Linked DNA regions of Saccharomyces cerevisiae S288C. The gene in region 2 interacts genetically with the main gene of each other region. Each region holds a gene or a part of one and is shown on either strand. Other genes may lie near its edges.

Region 1 (5,092 bases), on a different chromosome or scaffold from region 2:
ATGAAGAGAATGGGTAAACTCCACAGGATTTTCAATTCACCAGACATATACGTGGTGATTGCAACACCAACAACGAATAGCGCGGCAGGAATATAGATCCCGTGGACAGGTTCGTCTAGAATGTTAGTTCCTTCTATGTCTTCTTTTGACATTTTCTTCACGCGGTTCTTGGAGTGCTTCCTTTTTTGTGATAAGTTTGGGTGGCAACGAGATGAGCTCAAAACTCTTTGTTTTTTATGGGTATTTTTGTCTTAGAATATTTTCAAATTTTTCAATATTCCGCGGAACATAGGGAAAAAAATAAATTTAATAAGCTATTGTTCTAACTGTACACCTAAAGGTAAGTGAAAAATAATTCGATAATTAGAGGTATCTTTATTTGGATAGAATATGCATATATATATATAAGCGTATATATATATATATATATATATGTATATACATATGGACATTAAGTAAATATAAATCTATAAGTGGGTATCGGGATCAGAGCCACTTTCTTAGAACTCCTCAGCGTAAGAATCGGCACCCACTTCAATATAATCTCTTTCTAAGGCAGCTAAATCTTCTCTAGCTTCGGTGAACTCACCTTCTTCCATACCTTCACCGACATACCAATGGACGAAAGCACGTTTGGCATACATCAGGTCGAATTTCTGATCGATTCTCTTCCAAGCGTCCGCGATGGCAGTGGTGTTGGATAGCATGCAGACAGCTCTATCCACATTGGCTAATTCGGAACTTGGTATCACACTTGGTGGCTCATAACAAATACCAATCTTAAATCCTGTTGGACACCAATCCACCATTTGTACTGTTTTTTTATTCTTCACCTGTTCGACGGCTCTTTGGACATCTCTGGTCACCACGTCACCTCTGTATAACAAACAGTTAGCCATGTACTTCCCCTTTGTTGGGTCACACTTAACCATTTGATTGCCCGGTTCGAAACAAGCGTTTGTGATTTCTGACACGGAGTTGGATTCATGGGTGGCCCTCTTCTTGGACAAGATGGGTGCGTAGGAAACCAAAGGGAAATGAATTCTTGGATATGGTACCAAGTTGGTCTGAAATTCGTTCAAATCCACGTTTAATGAACCATCGAACCTCAAAGAGGCTGTAACAGATGATATCACTTGGGCAATCAACCCGTTCAAGTTGCTGAAGCTTGGTCTAGAAATTCCCAAGTTCCTCTTGCATATATCGTAAATGGCTTCGTTATCGACCATAAACGTACAGTCTGCGTGTTCCAGGGTGGTATGCGTGGTTAAAACCGTGTTGTAAGGTTCCACGACGGAAGTAGACAATTGAGGCGCAGGATAAACGGCGAATTCCAATTTGGATTTCTTCCCGTATTCATACGATAAGTTTTCTAATAACAGGGAACCTAAACCGGAACCAGTTCCACCACCGAGGGAGTGGGTGAACAAGAACCCTTGTAAACCGTCACATTGGTCGGCCATCTTTCTAATTCTTTCTTCAACTTCATCCACTATTTCTCTACCCACTGTATAATGGCCTCTTGCGTAGTTATTGGCGGCATCTTCCTTACCGTTAATCAATTGTTCTGGATGGAAAAGCTCCTTGAAACGTCCTGTACGTACTTCATCGATAACATTGGGCTCTAAATCCACGTAGATTGCTCTTGGGACGAATTTTCCGTACCCCGTTTCATGGAAGAATGTAGAAAATCCTTCTTCACCTCCCTTAGGTTTTGACAAGCCATCCTCCAAATGGCCGTCTTCCTTGATGCCATGCTCTAGGGAGTACAATTCCCAGCATGCATTACCTATTTGACAACCTGCTTGACCAACTGTTGTAAAAAAGAAAAATAACAAAAGTTCCAGCAATCCTCCGAAGAAGAAGACACAAAAATCACTCCCCATGTAATGAGGTCAATTATGAGCTTTTTCGTCCGAGTATGCCCAGAAAAAATGGAGAAAAAGAAACTGTTAGTAAACTGTGCTGGTACAAGTCAAATTATTTGCCGTAAATCAACCAGATGGTGACCAATTGGGAATGAATCAAACCAGATCAGATCAAACTTCTTTCCCTGTCCCACAGGTGCCATTGGTTGCGAATATTGAACAAAAAAAGGAACGCATACATACCATTAATACTAATGACCTCTCTCATTGTCTCAAGTCGCTTGCTTAGTCGATTAATGTACTTTATGAGATACCTGATCTGTGTTTATATTTCTTTTAGATGTGCAATTTGTAAAACGTTTCGTGGTTTCCAGAGGCTCGAGAAATGATATGTCGGGTAACGTCTGGAACTAAAAAAGAAAGGACGATATGCTCTGCTCTGGCACCAGCCAACAGGATGGCAGAGAGATGTGAGGAAATAATGAAATTAAAAGAAATTATCGAATAAATATGTAACCTGACAGTATTTATAGATTATGTAAGGGGTTTGATAATAAGTTTATAAAAATGTTTTTGTATTATTTGTTCTAGTTTACAAGTTTTAGTGCATCTTTGAGGCTTTTATGCTTCATGTTGAAGTTGAGATGGGCTGGAAGATTCAATGTCATTATTCTTGTTTCTGAAGTTTAGCGTAGCAGGATCGATTTCATCGTGGTATAGCTCGTTAATTTCTTCTAGAGTCTTTCTCTTAGTTTCTGGGATCAACAAGGTTGTGAAGATACCCAACAACATGAATAAGGCGAAAATTTCCATGACGTGAGGTAACCAACAGTTGGTTGGCTTACCGTCTCTAGCACAGTTATGGTCGATTAGAGTACCCAAAGCGGTTTGTGCAATAATGGCACCGACCTTACCAGATGCAGCAGAAATACCATGAGCAGTAGATCTGTAACGAGTTGGGAAACACTCACCAGGAACAATAAAGGTGGTTGTGTTTGGACCGAAGTTTTGGAAGAATTGACAAATGACGTAAAGAGCCAACAGACCATGGTCACCAAGTTTATGGTATGCGAAACCGATGACACAGAACAAAGCGGTCAAGATGATGAAACCGGCTAATTGAATTGGTTTTCTACCGATTATATCGACAGTGAAGACGGATACCCAGTAACCAGGTAATGAACCAGCACAAATCAAAATCAGATTACCGACAGCAGTATCATACAGTTTCTTGTAAACGTTTTTGGAACCGGCATAACCGATGGTTTGCAGAATAACAGCACTGTTTAAACTCAACCCGTAGAAAGCAACATCTAAGGTAAACCATGAACCAGCAGTACCTAGCAAAATCTTACCGTACTTCCATTGACCAAAATGTCTGCAGAAATCTTTGAACGAAGCCTTTGGAGGATGATTGTCAAGAGATTCGACGGCAGTAGAAGCTCTTTCCAAACCGTTAATTGCCATGTCTTCATCACTGGTGTCGTGAATTTTCTTTTCGCCATCTTGTTCTTGTGCGGCAGCAGCAAGTTCCAACTTAGCGTTAACATCCAATTGATATCTAGGAGATTCTGGAATAGTTAATCTGAAATACAAACATGCCAACCCTAGAACGGTACCCAACCCAATAAGGATTCTCCACATTTGGTCACAAGCCTTTTGACATCTAGCATCACATTCAGCACCAGAGTTTGCGTATTCTAGTTCGCCCTTGTAAGCAGCAACCAAGATAAGAGCGATGATACCACCGGAGATTTGACCCCAAGCTTGGTTAGCAAAGACAGCACCCATGATGGCACCTCTCCATTTGGTAGTGGCAAATTCAGAAGTAATAATAGAAGATAGTGGGTAGTCACCACCGATACCAATACCCATGACAATACGGTAGAATGTTAAAACAGCAACGAAGTTAATAGCAGGAGAATGAGCAACAGTGGTTTGCAGAATGGTACAGACAATCATGATAATAAGTTCCATACCATAAATTCTCTTACGACCAACAATATCAGCTAAAGTACCAAAACCAAATTGACCAATAACAGTACCAACAGAAGTGGAAACCTTCAACAAGGTTTGACTTGGACCTGGCATACTACCGTGCCAGTAAACGTAGGACATCATAGTGATACCCAAATTAATGGCAAAAATATCATAAGAATCTGTCAAGAAACCAACACCAGCAATGGAGATGGTCTTAACTTGTTGCCAACCGAAACCTTCGTCATCGATGGACTCCAAAGCCAATCTTCTTCTTTCCAGAGGATCTTCAATATGAGCAAAATCATTCAAATGGTTGTGGAAGGCCATGTTACCACCTTCGGTAAGGTGTTCTTTATGAAGACTTCTTTCAGCAACATGAATAGTATCTTTATTGACGGAACTCATTTGGATTGTATTCGTGGAGTTTTGTTTGTTGTGTGCCCTGGTGATCTACGAGATGAGGAAAGATAAAATTTAGAAGTGAACTTAGAACTTTACTTTATACAAGAGATGAGGATGAGCTTATATATATACGTATACGAGCCACAATAGTAAGTGGATCTAAGTTGGCATTACCGGTGTGCAATGTGGTTGCATCATGCTGCCAAAAAGGAATAATAATTAGCTCATAGATGAGGTCGGTTAATTAATGAGTAATACGCACGTTTTTAATCTAGCTAATAAGCAGGCAAAACGGGAGAAGAGGGATAAGGAAAGCCTTTCACACGACATTTGGTGCATAACTGCACCGATCTCACTGATTTCGATGGACTGCGGCGAACCATAATCAATTGCCGTCGCTAATTTCCGCCCCACGTGCTGGAAATAACACGTCCACGTGGAACTATTAAATTGGCATCGGGCGGTGCGGCAGTGAGAGGAACGGGTGTTTTTCAGCCGGGCAACATTTTCTTCATAGCCGCTAGATGAGTTGAAAGGGCCCTTACGAGCAAATGCTGCACGTATAGGGCGCCTATAACAGCACCAACGTGCGTAATACTGATTGCTGTCATTTCTTGGCATGTTTTCTTGGTCAAGGTCTGTGATCTCCCCTTCCGGTTGTGTCTTTTCATAATAATATGGTTTTTTTATTCATAATTTGGTAATAACGGTTGATAAACGAGCGGCTGATAAATTAGTTTCTTTTTTTTTTTAATTTTTTTTTTTTTTGATCTCATTTCTTTTTTTATTGAATCTTTTTTTTTTTGTAAGAAAATTAAGGTTTATTAGGCAGAGTATACCGA
Region 2 (7,383 bases):
TTTGTTCGTAATAGATTTTCTATCAAGTCAAGAATTTTTTATTCTTGCAAAGGCCGGCTCACGAATAAAGAGTTGCATTTGCCTTGCAATTCGTACGGTTAATTGTCATTTTTTCTATTTGTATTATAAGATACGAAGGGTACCTCATTGAAGTATTTTCACCTTTAGCATTTTCTTTATCATCTTTTGTTTTGTTTGTTCATTTACTTTAGCGTTTAGTTGATAAGTCCTGTTATCCTCTTCTTTTATTTCATTTCTTCATTTACTTAACTGCGAGAAGATTATAATAGCATGTCAGGTTCTTTCTGGAAGTTTGGTCAGGATTACTCGATAGAGTCACCGGTTTCTAAGATTCTAAATAGTGCCTTTATTAAAATCAATAAGGACCAAGATGACGACGTACCTACCGGCACATGTGAAGAAAATATTGCTGATGACGAAGATAACTCTTCACATGACTACGCTGCTTCTGAAGATAATGTAGTTAACGAGAACGAAGAGAAGGAAGAAGAAAATACTCTGCCCACTACAGAATCGGAATATGAAAATTATAGACCTAATTTGGACGTCTTAGACGATTTGCTGGATGATGACGAACTGTATACGGAATTAATGTGTTCAAATTTCAAGCTACTAATATTCTTGAAGTATCCTGATGTTTTATCAAAATTGATAGAATATGTTACCAACGAGAAGATTCTCGACGAAGAAACAGATAGCGCTAAAAAGCCAGAGATTATTGAAGGTGTAAACGATCATCCTATTTTGATAGAAAGAGACAGAAAGGATAAAAAGGAGGACGCTGAAGAAGGAGGCGACTCAGAAGAAACTACAAATGATAGCGATCATGACTCTGGGGACGAAAGAAGTGTTGATTCTGAAGAGACAAGCATTACTTTGCCACCGGAATCTGAGGAACAAGTGGAGACTAGAAGGGCAAGGATAGCTGCTGAAATTTTATCGGCTGATGTATGGCCTATATCCGCAGCAATAATGCAAAATAAGGATCTTCTTGGTAGATTGTGGTCGATACTAGATCACCCAGCTCCCTTACCGATACCAGCTTCCACCTACTTCATGAAAATAAATGAAAGACTTCTCGATATGGATATAACGGGGATGTTAGAGTTTATATTAAGCCGAGACAGCTTGGTTGCAAGGTTCTTGACACATGTTGACAATCCGTCTTTGATGGACTTCCTTTTGAAAGTTATCTCGACGGATAAACCTGACTCTCCCACGGGTGTCATAAAGATACTAAAATCACAGGAATTAATACCTAAACTTTTAGATCATCTTAATCCAGAATACGGTATTTCCACTCAGTCTGCGGCAGGCGATTTTATTAAGGCATTCGTCACGTTAAGCACTAACTCAAGCAATGAACTTGCTTCGGGAATAGGTCCTAATGAATTGACAAGGCAATTAGTATCAGAAGAAATGATAGAAAAGTTGATTAAGATAATGCTAAAGGGCGGTACATCCTTAAGTAATGGTGTTGGAATTATCATAGAGTTGATCAGGAAGAATAACTCAGATTATGATTTCATCCAACTAGTCTACACTACCCTAGAAAGTCACCCTCCCACTGATCGAGATCCAATTCACTTGATACATTTAGTCAAACTTTTTGCTAAGCATATGCCTGATTTTGCTGATATGCTGGATAAAACCAAGTTGCCACTAATGGAAATGCCATTCGGTAATATTGAACCTCTGGGATTTGAGAGGTTTAAAATCTGTGAACTTATTGCAGAACTATTGCACTGTTCTAATATGACGCTGCTAAATGAGCCCAATGGTGAGATGATTGCCCAAGAACGTGATATAGAAAGGGCCAAAGAATTAGAAACTTCAACCGAAAAGGAAAATATAACAGCTATTGTGGACAATAAATCATCATATTATGATAAGGATTGCGTAGAGAAGGATATCACAGAAAATTTAGGCGCTCTTCAAATAAATAATCAAGGAAGTGAAGAAGATGAATTAAATGATACTGGGGTATCAAGTGTAAAACTAGATGTGAAATCAGACGCAAAGGTAGTTGAGGGGCTAGAAAATGATGCTTCTGGAGTAGAGTTGTATGATGAAACCTTGTCTGACACAGAATCCGTGAGAGAATGCCTAAGGGAAAAACCGCTAGTTGGAGACAGGCTGAAGATTGCTCTAGAAGACACTAAGATACTGATTAGTATCCTTGATATGTTCACTGAGTTCCCTTGGAATAATTTTTTGCATAATGTAATTTTTGATATTGCCCAGCAAATATTCAATGGTCCCCTCAAAACTGGTTATAATAGGTTCCTCTTGAAAGATTATTTGGTTGATGCATACCTAACTAAAAAGATAGTAGATGCGGATAAGGCATGTCAAGACTATGAAAAAAAGACCGGTTTACGTTATGGTTATATGGGTCATTTGACATTAGTTGCCGAAGAAATATCGAAGTTCAAAGAGTATATTGATGAAATGAAGCTAACTTTTTGCAATACCGCTGTTTCAGATCGACTTGAGGAACCATTTTGGAAAGAATATAGTGAAACGATCTTGGCTGATACAAGAGAGAAGTATAACACCGTTTTGGGAGATTTTGGCAATGACCAAGAAAGCGATGACGATGTTATTAGGAATTCTGATTCTGAGGATATAATTGGTGATACAGAGGGCAACGAAAACTACGGAAATGGAGAAAACGATGAACTTCTTAGTAACGGGCATGATTCTGGGAACATGGATTTATATTATAACTTCAATAATAACGAGAATGAAGAAAATGAAGAAGATTACGCAGAGTATAGTGATGTGGATAATAAAAATTACTATAATAACGTCGAGACTAACGACGATGATTATGATAGTGATGATGGTAAATCCAAAAGTGCCGAATCAGAGTTTACCGATAAAATATCTGAACATAGGGATGGCAATAGTCTCTATAATGAGGACAATGATGAAAACGGGAGTGACAAATGGACATCGGGTACTTCATTGTTCCCTCCAGACCATTTTCCTAGTAGGTCACAACCTTCAGATCCTAAACTGCAAGACCAGAATATTTTTCACCATCAGTTTGACTTTGAAGGTGTTGGCGATGACGATGACTATATGGATCCTAATGATGATGGCCAGTCATATGCCAGACCTGGTAATCCATTGTATACTACCCCGAAAACACCACCAAGACCGAAGACTATTCTTTTCAATTCTTTATCCGCATTGGATAATAATGGCGAAGACGAAGAAGTGGCACTAGGCACCAGTGTTGATGATCGAATGGATAACGAGATATCAAGCGATGAAGAAGACTCCGAAGATGAAGATGAAGAGAATGATATGGGCAATGAGGAGGGCTACTCATTATATAGGTCAAGAAGTAAAGAAGCTTTCTGAACTAAAACATTCACATTGTCACATTTTCACCCTTTATTCATCAATTTTTTATTGCTCCACTTTTTTCGCATATAGGTCATTTATAATTCATCAAATATATACTTTTTTAATTGAGGCTTGTAATTTAATATTAACCGAATATAATCTTATAAAGAATAATGAATATTCACTTTTGAATATACTTAAGTTTATATAGGTGTAAGAAGGAAATGTCCATGTTTATTTCAGTAGTTTTTTTCTGTAATCCGCAAAGCTTAATTTCTTTTTCGAATGCAGTTGTGAGGACGAAAAATCTGATAAGTGCATTATACTTTCTGGAGTGGATTCTCGCCTTGAATTAACCGAAGCTTCTGTCATGATTTCTTTTGTTTTTGCTTGACTGTGTTGTGCTTCCTTTGACAGTTCTTTATTGAAATTTGAAAGAGAAGGGGTTCTACTTAATTTATGTTCATTCTTTGATTGACTCTCTTCGACATCGTTTGCAGTTTGCCTTGACGTCTTGTTTATTGGTAAAAGAACTGGAATTGGTAATTCTTCAATATTGGTAATGTGTGATTCGTCATAATCTGTGCTCTTCGTAATTATTAAAGGTTTTTCTGAAGTTTCATTTTTTTTGGGAACAGAAATATTAGAAGAATGTTGTGCAAATAAGGCGAATTTGAAGGGTTTTGCAATATCATCAGGATTATTTGTACTATCAATAGTATTCTTTTGAGGAATTTTTGGACCATTATTTCGATTAAGGAATTTTTGTCGATAAAAATTATTCAAAAGTATTGGAGCTCTTTCTATAGTATTTTGAGCCTTTTCTTCTAGCCTATGCAAAATTGGTGGCTCACGTCTCTTTTTGCAATTATATTGGTTGAGAATTTCATTTAATTTATATCTGTTGTTCATTTTTCCTCTGGATTTCACAGATTTATAAAGACTTTGCGCGTATCTCTTCACTTTCAATAAATAACAATCTTTAGAATTATTTCCACAGCCGCATTCGCCGTTACTCAAAATTGTTTCTACCGAATTTATCAGCCCATACCTTTCAAGGTCATCTAAAGAGTCTATTGTCATGCCCTTTATTAATTTTAATATAGGATGTTTTGAATCCCACTGCCATTTGATGTATAACTCCTCATCCTCTGAAATATCTCTCAAAGCTCTTAAAACAAATTTTATTCTACTTGATTTTCTTCCACTGCTTTTGTCATTCCTATTGTCTGTATCTTGCAGTTTTATAGTTACTAATTCAACATTCGGCTGGCAACTTCTTCTCAAATACCTAGTTGAATTGCCTGATAAGCGTGCATCTATATATATCGGCCAATGGGAATGGAAAATGACCCTTCTTTTAGCTGTACCCCATATCCTGTAATGGTTTCGTGGGTCAGTGAGATAATTTTTATAGAAGTCCAATTCGCCTAAAATTTCTTGAATGAAATCACCTTTTATGCAGTCCTTTTTGAGATAAACTCCTAATTTCGTGAAGCCTGGGTAAGTCCTGGAATATGCAATGTCAGCATACGGTTTGACTTCAATTGACACAGATTTAAAGGTCTTATGAGGATATTGTATGACCCAATTATCATCCATATGTTTATTTAAGAACGGTTCGATCAGATCACTTTTAAACACATTGTCTTTCAAGGGCAAGTATATTGCACCATATGCGTCTTTTGCACTCAGGAAATGCTCTTTTTTCTTGGGCATAGAAGTCAATCCATCGGAAGAATTGACAGAAGCGCTTTCGTTTTTGGAGTCTATACTATTATTTGATGGGTTTCTTTTCCTTCTTTTGTCCCTGTGGTTAGTATTGTCCTGATCCGTTGAAAAGCTATCGCCAACGTCACTAATAGTTGTACTCGATGCTCTGTCCCGACCGTTATTCTTATTACTAGCACTATTGTTTGATGAAGAAGGTTCTACTGTTTTTACGTTTATGCGTTCCTGCTGTATTTTCCTAGCCAAGTTAATGTCTACCTCTCTTGGATCACATGAGTTGCAAAGGTAATCATCAGGTGCCATCCCAATATCTTTGATGCCATAGCAAATAGCATGCTGCCATCTGTTGCAGTGGTCACATTGGATAGTGAATCCATCATCATCATTTAAATCACATATACATGTAATTATACCCGCGTCAGGATCGACTATATACGAATCAGGTACCGGCCATTGAGGTTGCTTTTGAGGTTGATTTTCGGTCTCTTCTTTTGCTGCCGTGGATGTTGCTGCTTCTGCCGCCGATTGCTCAGTAGCTTTCTTTAAAGGTAAAGAAACTGTGGATGCTGTAGCCAGTGCTGCTGCTGCCATTTCTATTGCTCCTTTTTTTTCTCTCTCATGAGACTCATCATGCTCAATAGTATCTGTTTTAGAGCCTATTTTTGAAGCTTCTTCAGCTCTTTTTTTCCCTTTTGAAAACAATAACAATGTGGATGCATCATCTAGGAGCGACTGCTCTTTGGAATTAGGTACTGACATGATTCAGTTCTCGTATTTTGTGAAGTACGATCTAAAACTGTTGTATATACGCTTTAAATCATGTTTACTAGAAAGGTCCTTTATTACTACTTTCTGTATATAGCATGTCGTTGATAATGATATGCATCTATCATGACATAGTAAGATGAATGAGTTGGTTGAACAATTTCCAGGGAAACAAAGGACTAGTTTCATGTCTTTAATGTTTTTTTACGAATAATATACCATGCTATAAAAGTATTATAATAAAAGGTATCGACTACCTGTAATCTAGAATGATAATTTCATACAACGATCACTTCCAACGGTTAAATAATTACCAATAGACCTTACTAGAATATTAAACTTAACAGGTTTAAATTTTGTTGAAATAACTGCAAAAAGCCAGAAAGAAACAGATTTGCACTATAATTTTTCGATTGCCACTACTTAGTCAACGGATTTATCAATGTCATATTTGCCGACTTATTCCAACGACTTGCCAGCAGGCCCGCAAGGCCAGAGGAGGCGTAATAATGGTAATGAAAACGATGCAAGACAAGGCTACGGTCAGCAATCTGTGCCGATGGTAATCAGGAGGCTTTTCAAAACGCCAAAGAATTTAGATCTCGAGACAGCCAGCTGGGAAATGTTCCATTTGATTTTCCATCCAAGAAAAGCTTATAGATCAATATATTATCAGCGACAGACGAAAAATCAGTGGGCGAGAGATGATCCTTCCTTTTTCATCTTCCAAATAGCCTTAATTTCACTCAGTTCTATTATTTGGTCGATTTATAATTCAGGTTTCAACAACGACAGTGATATGGGGGCCTTGAGCATTATAGGTCATTTTTTCAAAAGTTTGGTAATGATGGTGATTTTAGATTTTTTCATATTTGGATTTATTATGGCAACTATTTTTTACCTTTTGTTGAATAGGTCACATTTTAAATTCAAATCGAGCCAAAATAGTGTGGTAGAGTGGGCTTATTGTTTCGACGTTCATTGTAATTCATTTTTAATCATCCTACTGTGCCTATACTTCATTCAGTTTTTACTACTGCCCATAATTAATTTACAAAACTGGATTTCCTTACTCATTGGTAATTCGTTATATTGTTTTGCTATTGGCCATTACTTTATTTTAACCTTTTATGGATACAACCAGTTGCCATTCTTGAAAAATTTGAACTTTATACTTTTACCAACATTAGGATTATCGATAATCTATTTAATCAGTTTATTTGGCATCGACTTATCCAAGAAATTAAGCTTTTACAATTATTAAGCAATTGAACACGGAAATAGAAAAAATTTGGTTCTTTAAGATAAAGCACATAAATTACATAATGATATTATTATTATATATATTTGAAGTATAAAAATGCAATGAGTAATAAGAGCAATAATGACACTATGGACCAAAAGAATGCATAATGAAAACTGTTTATGTATCAGCGTCGAATGCTTATAACAGATAAAAGGAAAATACAGGTAATGGTGTGTTCCTGGTCGTTTTTATATTCCCTTAAT
Region 3 (3,988 bases), on a different chromosome or scaffold from region 2:
TTGAATTGATTTTTTGGCCTTGTTAACTTGAAAGGATAATTGATCTCGGTGGAAGTTAAACCTAGAATACAATTCATTTAATTTCTTTTTCAAGTGCTGCCATTGAAGTTCTATATTTTCTTTCCAAACAGCGTTATTAGGTGTCCGTATTTCATTTTTATTAGTGCTGCCTTTATCAGGAGTATCACCGTTCTGTAGAGAATATGAACTATAATGAAATGGCCTGGTGAAAGATGACGCCCTCAACATTAATTTGTTAATGCTGAATACTAAGGGTAAGTTTCTTGTCGCCCCATAGTATCTCAACATCACGCAATTTTTTAATCACTGAGTTCACCCGTTACAATTTCACAACGAAAAAGACCCCAATGATCAGATAGTCCTCTTTATAACGCGTATCTACGTACATAATCTTTATTTGTATTTTTCAATTCATTTGGCTCACATTTATCATACCAGAAGGAAACCCATGCACCTCCATGATGAAATTATACAAAAATTTACATGATAATTGGTTTAGAACTGAGTCTACCACCTTTAAAGTTGGTCAAAGCCCTATGCCTCATGTCAATTGTTTGTAGTACTCTCCAGGCTTCCTCTATATGCCTTGGTTTGAGCGGGTTTATAACATTTTCAGGTCCATCAAATAATCTTTTCTTTCTATGTAATGTGGATGATGCAAATTCAAAGTTAGTATTATCTTGGCTAGATTGCTGGGATTTGTCCTTTTGAGTCTGTAATACCTGTTCTCTTTGTTTGATTTTCAGAGCTGTTTCCGTCAAAGAACAGACAATCTCAAAAGTTAGAAACCCCAGTATATCAATCACATCATCATGGGGTTTCCCCTCAGTTAATTGCGAAATTCCAGACCAGTCCTTGAACCTTTTATTCTTCCTAAATGTAAAACTTGCCTGTCGACAATCGGACCAATGCACGTACTCCTCTTTAGTCATGTTTCGTGTTCTATCGTCAGCCATTTTCAGCCTTTTCAAAGTGACTATATTAGCTTCTCGTTCATCCTCATCCATATCATCATTGTCGTCATTATTTTCTAAAGGATGTTCATTGAACATAAACTGCAATTCCCATGGCAGCTTAATTTGGGATTTCTTGACCTTCATCATGTTTCCACCATCTTTTTCGTCTTTCTCGCCACCACCTGCTTTTTTCAAATCATCTTCACCACCTGCCCCAGGATTTCCAGTGCCACTCGCTACACCGGCACTAGCATCTTGGTCCTTGGCGTTTTTACGCAAATCCTTCCATGACAGATATGTTCTCAAACGATTGACTTTGGCCTTGTCGTGTCTGATCAAGAAAATGACGTCTTCAGGGAGAATGCTCCTACTTCCCCTAAGATGCGCCGTTTTGTTTGACTGTAAAAGAATTTCTATCACTTGACCCCTCACTATATCTTCTATCAGTGATGTGGTTTCTACGGGTGGGTCGTTAATTTCACCAGAGACAAACATCATCTGTTGAATCTCCACACGATACTTATGCTTGTCCATCATTCCTGCCCTAATCTCTTGAATTTTGGCACGGTACCTTGTATGCACTCTTCCCCGGGTTCAGAGTGTCTTCAACCTTACTTTTTACTTTTCGTTTCCGCCGATCTATATTACATGGTTCGGATTTTCTTCTTTTCTGTGCGCTGCGCTTGAAGCCTCAAGAAAGGGCAGCTTTGAACAAGACGTTCTTGCGATAGAGATGAATGAGAATGCATTGAACGCAATGTATACCTATTTTGGCGGCATAAAAAACTTGTTTTCGAGATTGCAGTTGAATCTGAATGTAGCGAGGAGACGAACAAAAAATTGGAGTTCCTACTGTATTGCAAAGAAACTAAGAGACGCCCGCTAATGCTGCCGGAAATGTACGGTGATCTCTTAAAGTTGATTGACCGATAACGCAAAAATAATGCAGCAAACTGTAGATAACTCTTTTTTATCGTAATATTTCTATTAGTATCCAGATATTTCACTCCAAATCACAGCAGACGTTGGTGTGAACGGCATCAGAGTCCCAGGGGCTGAGATAAGTGAAAAAAATGAAATGCCGCCGGCGTATATATAACAGTTATTGTACCTGATATTATGCCAAGTCACTCACTAATCTCGAGAAAATAATTCTAAGACATGTAACCGAACATCATGTCCTTCGAGAACAAACTGCCAACTCCATTAGAAAACAACGATGCTAAGGGCCATATGGTCTGTACCCTGAACAAGACTACGGATGCCAGAAGAGCAGCAGAGACTTTGTCTATTGCTTTTAGTAACTCGCCAGCGTTTCATTTTATCTGCAAGAAAATCTTAAATATTCCTCTAGCTGAGAAGGTGCCTACAAGGACAATAACCACCGATATCATATCGCCATTCCTGGATTCACCTTATGGTGAGATCTCCGAAGTTAATACTTTCGATGCTGTTGCAGTGTGGAGTCTTCCACCTCACGTTCCGAAGGCAAGGAGTAATGATGCAAAGTTCAACAAGGACTTTATTGACGATTTAAATGCTCGCGTAAAGCAAGTCATTCCAAATGGCATCAATTACTACTATCTTTTCTGTATTGGTAAGAACTTAAATGAGAAAGGAATCAGAGGTTCTGTAAGGACTATTTTTGAAGAGTACAAAAGGAGAGCAGACGAAGAAAATTGCGCCATTGTCCTTGAAGCTATTGCCGAGCATGCTAAATCTGTGTACGAATATTTTGGATTTAGAAATTACATGACGTTCAAATACGGTGAGTGTGAGGTCGACTCTAACGGCAATTGCGATCCGAATGGTGAAGGGTTCACAGCCTATTTAATGATATATCATAAGGACGGTAATAAAGTCTTAAAAGAGTAGTTTTTGAGCTTTTTCTTTCCCCCCTTCAAGTAATTATTTAGAATAAAAAGTAGTGTTTAAAGACGACATTTTGGAGCATGCACTGTATAACCAGGTTCAAAAAAATTTCGCCTGCTATTGTTTTCTTTATTTTGAAGATGTGAGAAAAGTCTCATATCTAGTGAGCTTCAGTCTGTTTTTAGATGTAGTTAGCAATTACTATTTTAGGTATTTCTTTGCGCGGTTACGGTCTCAAGAATTTATATTACCACAAAACCTATGTAAGCTAGATCTTCTTAGCGAAAGTGGTTCAGTGGTTAGAATTCATGCTTCCCAAGCATGGGGCCCGGGTTCGATTCCCGGCTTCCGCATTTTTTGTGCAATTTTTTTTTATACTCTATTTTCAAGTTAAAGTTTTTCAAAGGCGAAGTATGTTTACGCTAAATCAAGATATTTGGATGAGCAATCCACTAATTGCGTACTTCAACAGACACACAAGATCAGGAGCGCTACGCCAAACAAGAAAAGAAAATGCCAAGGGAAACAAGTTTGGTAACAATCATCGGTGAAGATAGTTACAAGAAATTACGGTCCTCAAGATGTCTTCTGGTCGGTGCTGGGGGCATAGGGTCTGAATTGTTAAAGGATATAATCTTGATGGAATTTGGTGAAATACATATTGTCGATTTGGACACCATTGACCTTTCGAACTTAAACAGGCAATTTCTTTTTAGACAAAAAGATATTAAACAACCGAAGTCTACCACAGCCGTAAAAGCAGTACAGCATTTCAATAACTCTAAGTTAGTGCCTTACCAAGGAAATGTTATGGACATTTCTACCTTCCCACTGCATTGGTTTGAGCAATTTGACATTATCTTCAATGCTCTTGATAACTTGGCCGCAAGACGGTATGTCAATAAAATATCACAGTTTCTATCACTGCCCTTAATAGAATCTGGAACAGCTGGATTTGATGGATACATGCAGCCTATTATCCCCGGGAAAACTGAGTGTTTTGAATGTACAAAGAAGGAAACACCAAAGACTTTTCCTGTGTGTACTATCAGGTCCACTCCTTCTCAGCCAATTCATTGCATTGTTTGGGCGAAAAACTTTCTATTTAACCAGCTATTTGCGTCAGAGACCTCTGGAAA

Evidence for each region.
Region 1: mutations in SET3 (region 2) and TUB3 together harm fitness more than expected from each alone (negative genetic interaction), as found in Saccharomyces cerevisiae (4 studies listed by BioGRID).
Region 3: mutations in SET3 (region 2) and SPT3 together harm fitness more than expected from each alone (negative genetic interaction), as found in Saccharomyces cerevisiae (4 studies listed by BioGRID, with this or other methods).

Annotation. Positions count from the first base shown.
Region 1 is NC_001145.3:21,548-26,639, forward strand, and holds TUB3 (alpha-tubulin TUB3), read right to left. Parts: upstream 2,137-5,092; coding exon 2,112-2,136; exon of another isoform or gene 2,017-2,111; intron 1,814-2,016; coding exon 501-1,813; downstream 1-500. Other genes in the region: PGA3 (cytochrome-b5 reductase), read right to left, coding at 1-152; phosphate transporter PHO84, read right to left, coding at 2,490-4,253; YML122C (uncharacterized protein), read right to left, coding at 4,491-4,871. UniProt on the Saccharomyces cerevisiae protein: Tubulin is the major constituent of microtubules, a cylinder consisting of laterally associated linear protofilaments composed of alpha- and beta-tubulin heterodimers.
Region 2 is NC_001143.9:493,966-501,348, forward strand, and holds SET3 (histone-binding protein SET3), read right to left. Parts: upstream 5,869-7,383; coding exon 3,613-5,868; downstream 1-3,612. Other genes in the region: SAP190 (Sap190p), read left to right, coding at 292-3,393; GMH1 (Gmh1p), read left to right, coding at 6,317-7,138; SPO14 (phospholipase D), read right to left, coding at 7,379-7,383.
Region 3 is NC_001136.10:1,256,222-1,260,209, reverse strand, and holds SPT3 (transcriptional regulator SPT3), read right to left. Parts: upstream 1,515-3,988; coding exon 501-1,514; downstream 1-500. Other genes in the region: SHE9 (She9p), read right to left, coding at 1-309; IAT4 (Iat4p), read left to right, coding at 2,154-2,852; E1 ubiquitin-activating protein UBA2, read left to right, coding at 3,363-3,988. UniProt on the Saccharomyces cerevisiae protein: Component of the transcription coactivator SAGA complex. SAGA acts as a general cofactor required for essentially all RNA polymerase II transcription. At the promoters, SAGA is required for transcription pre-initiation complex (PIC) recruitment.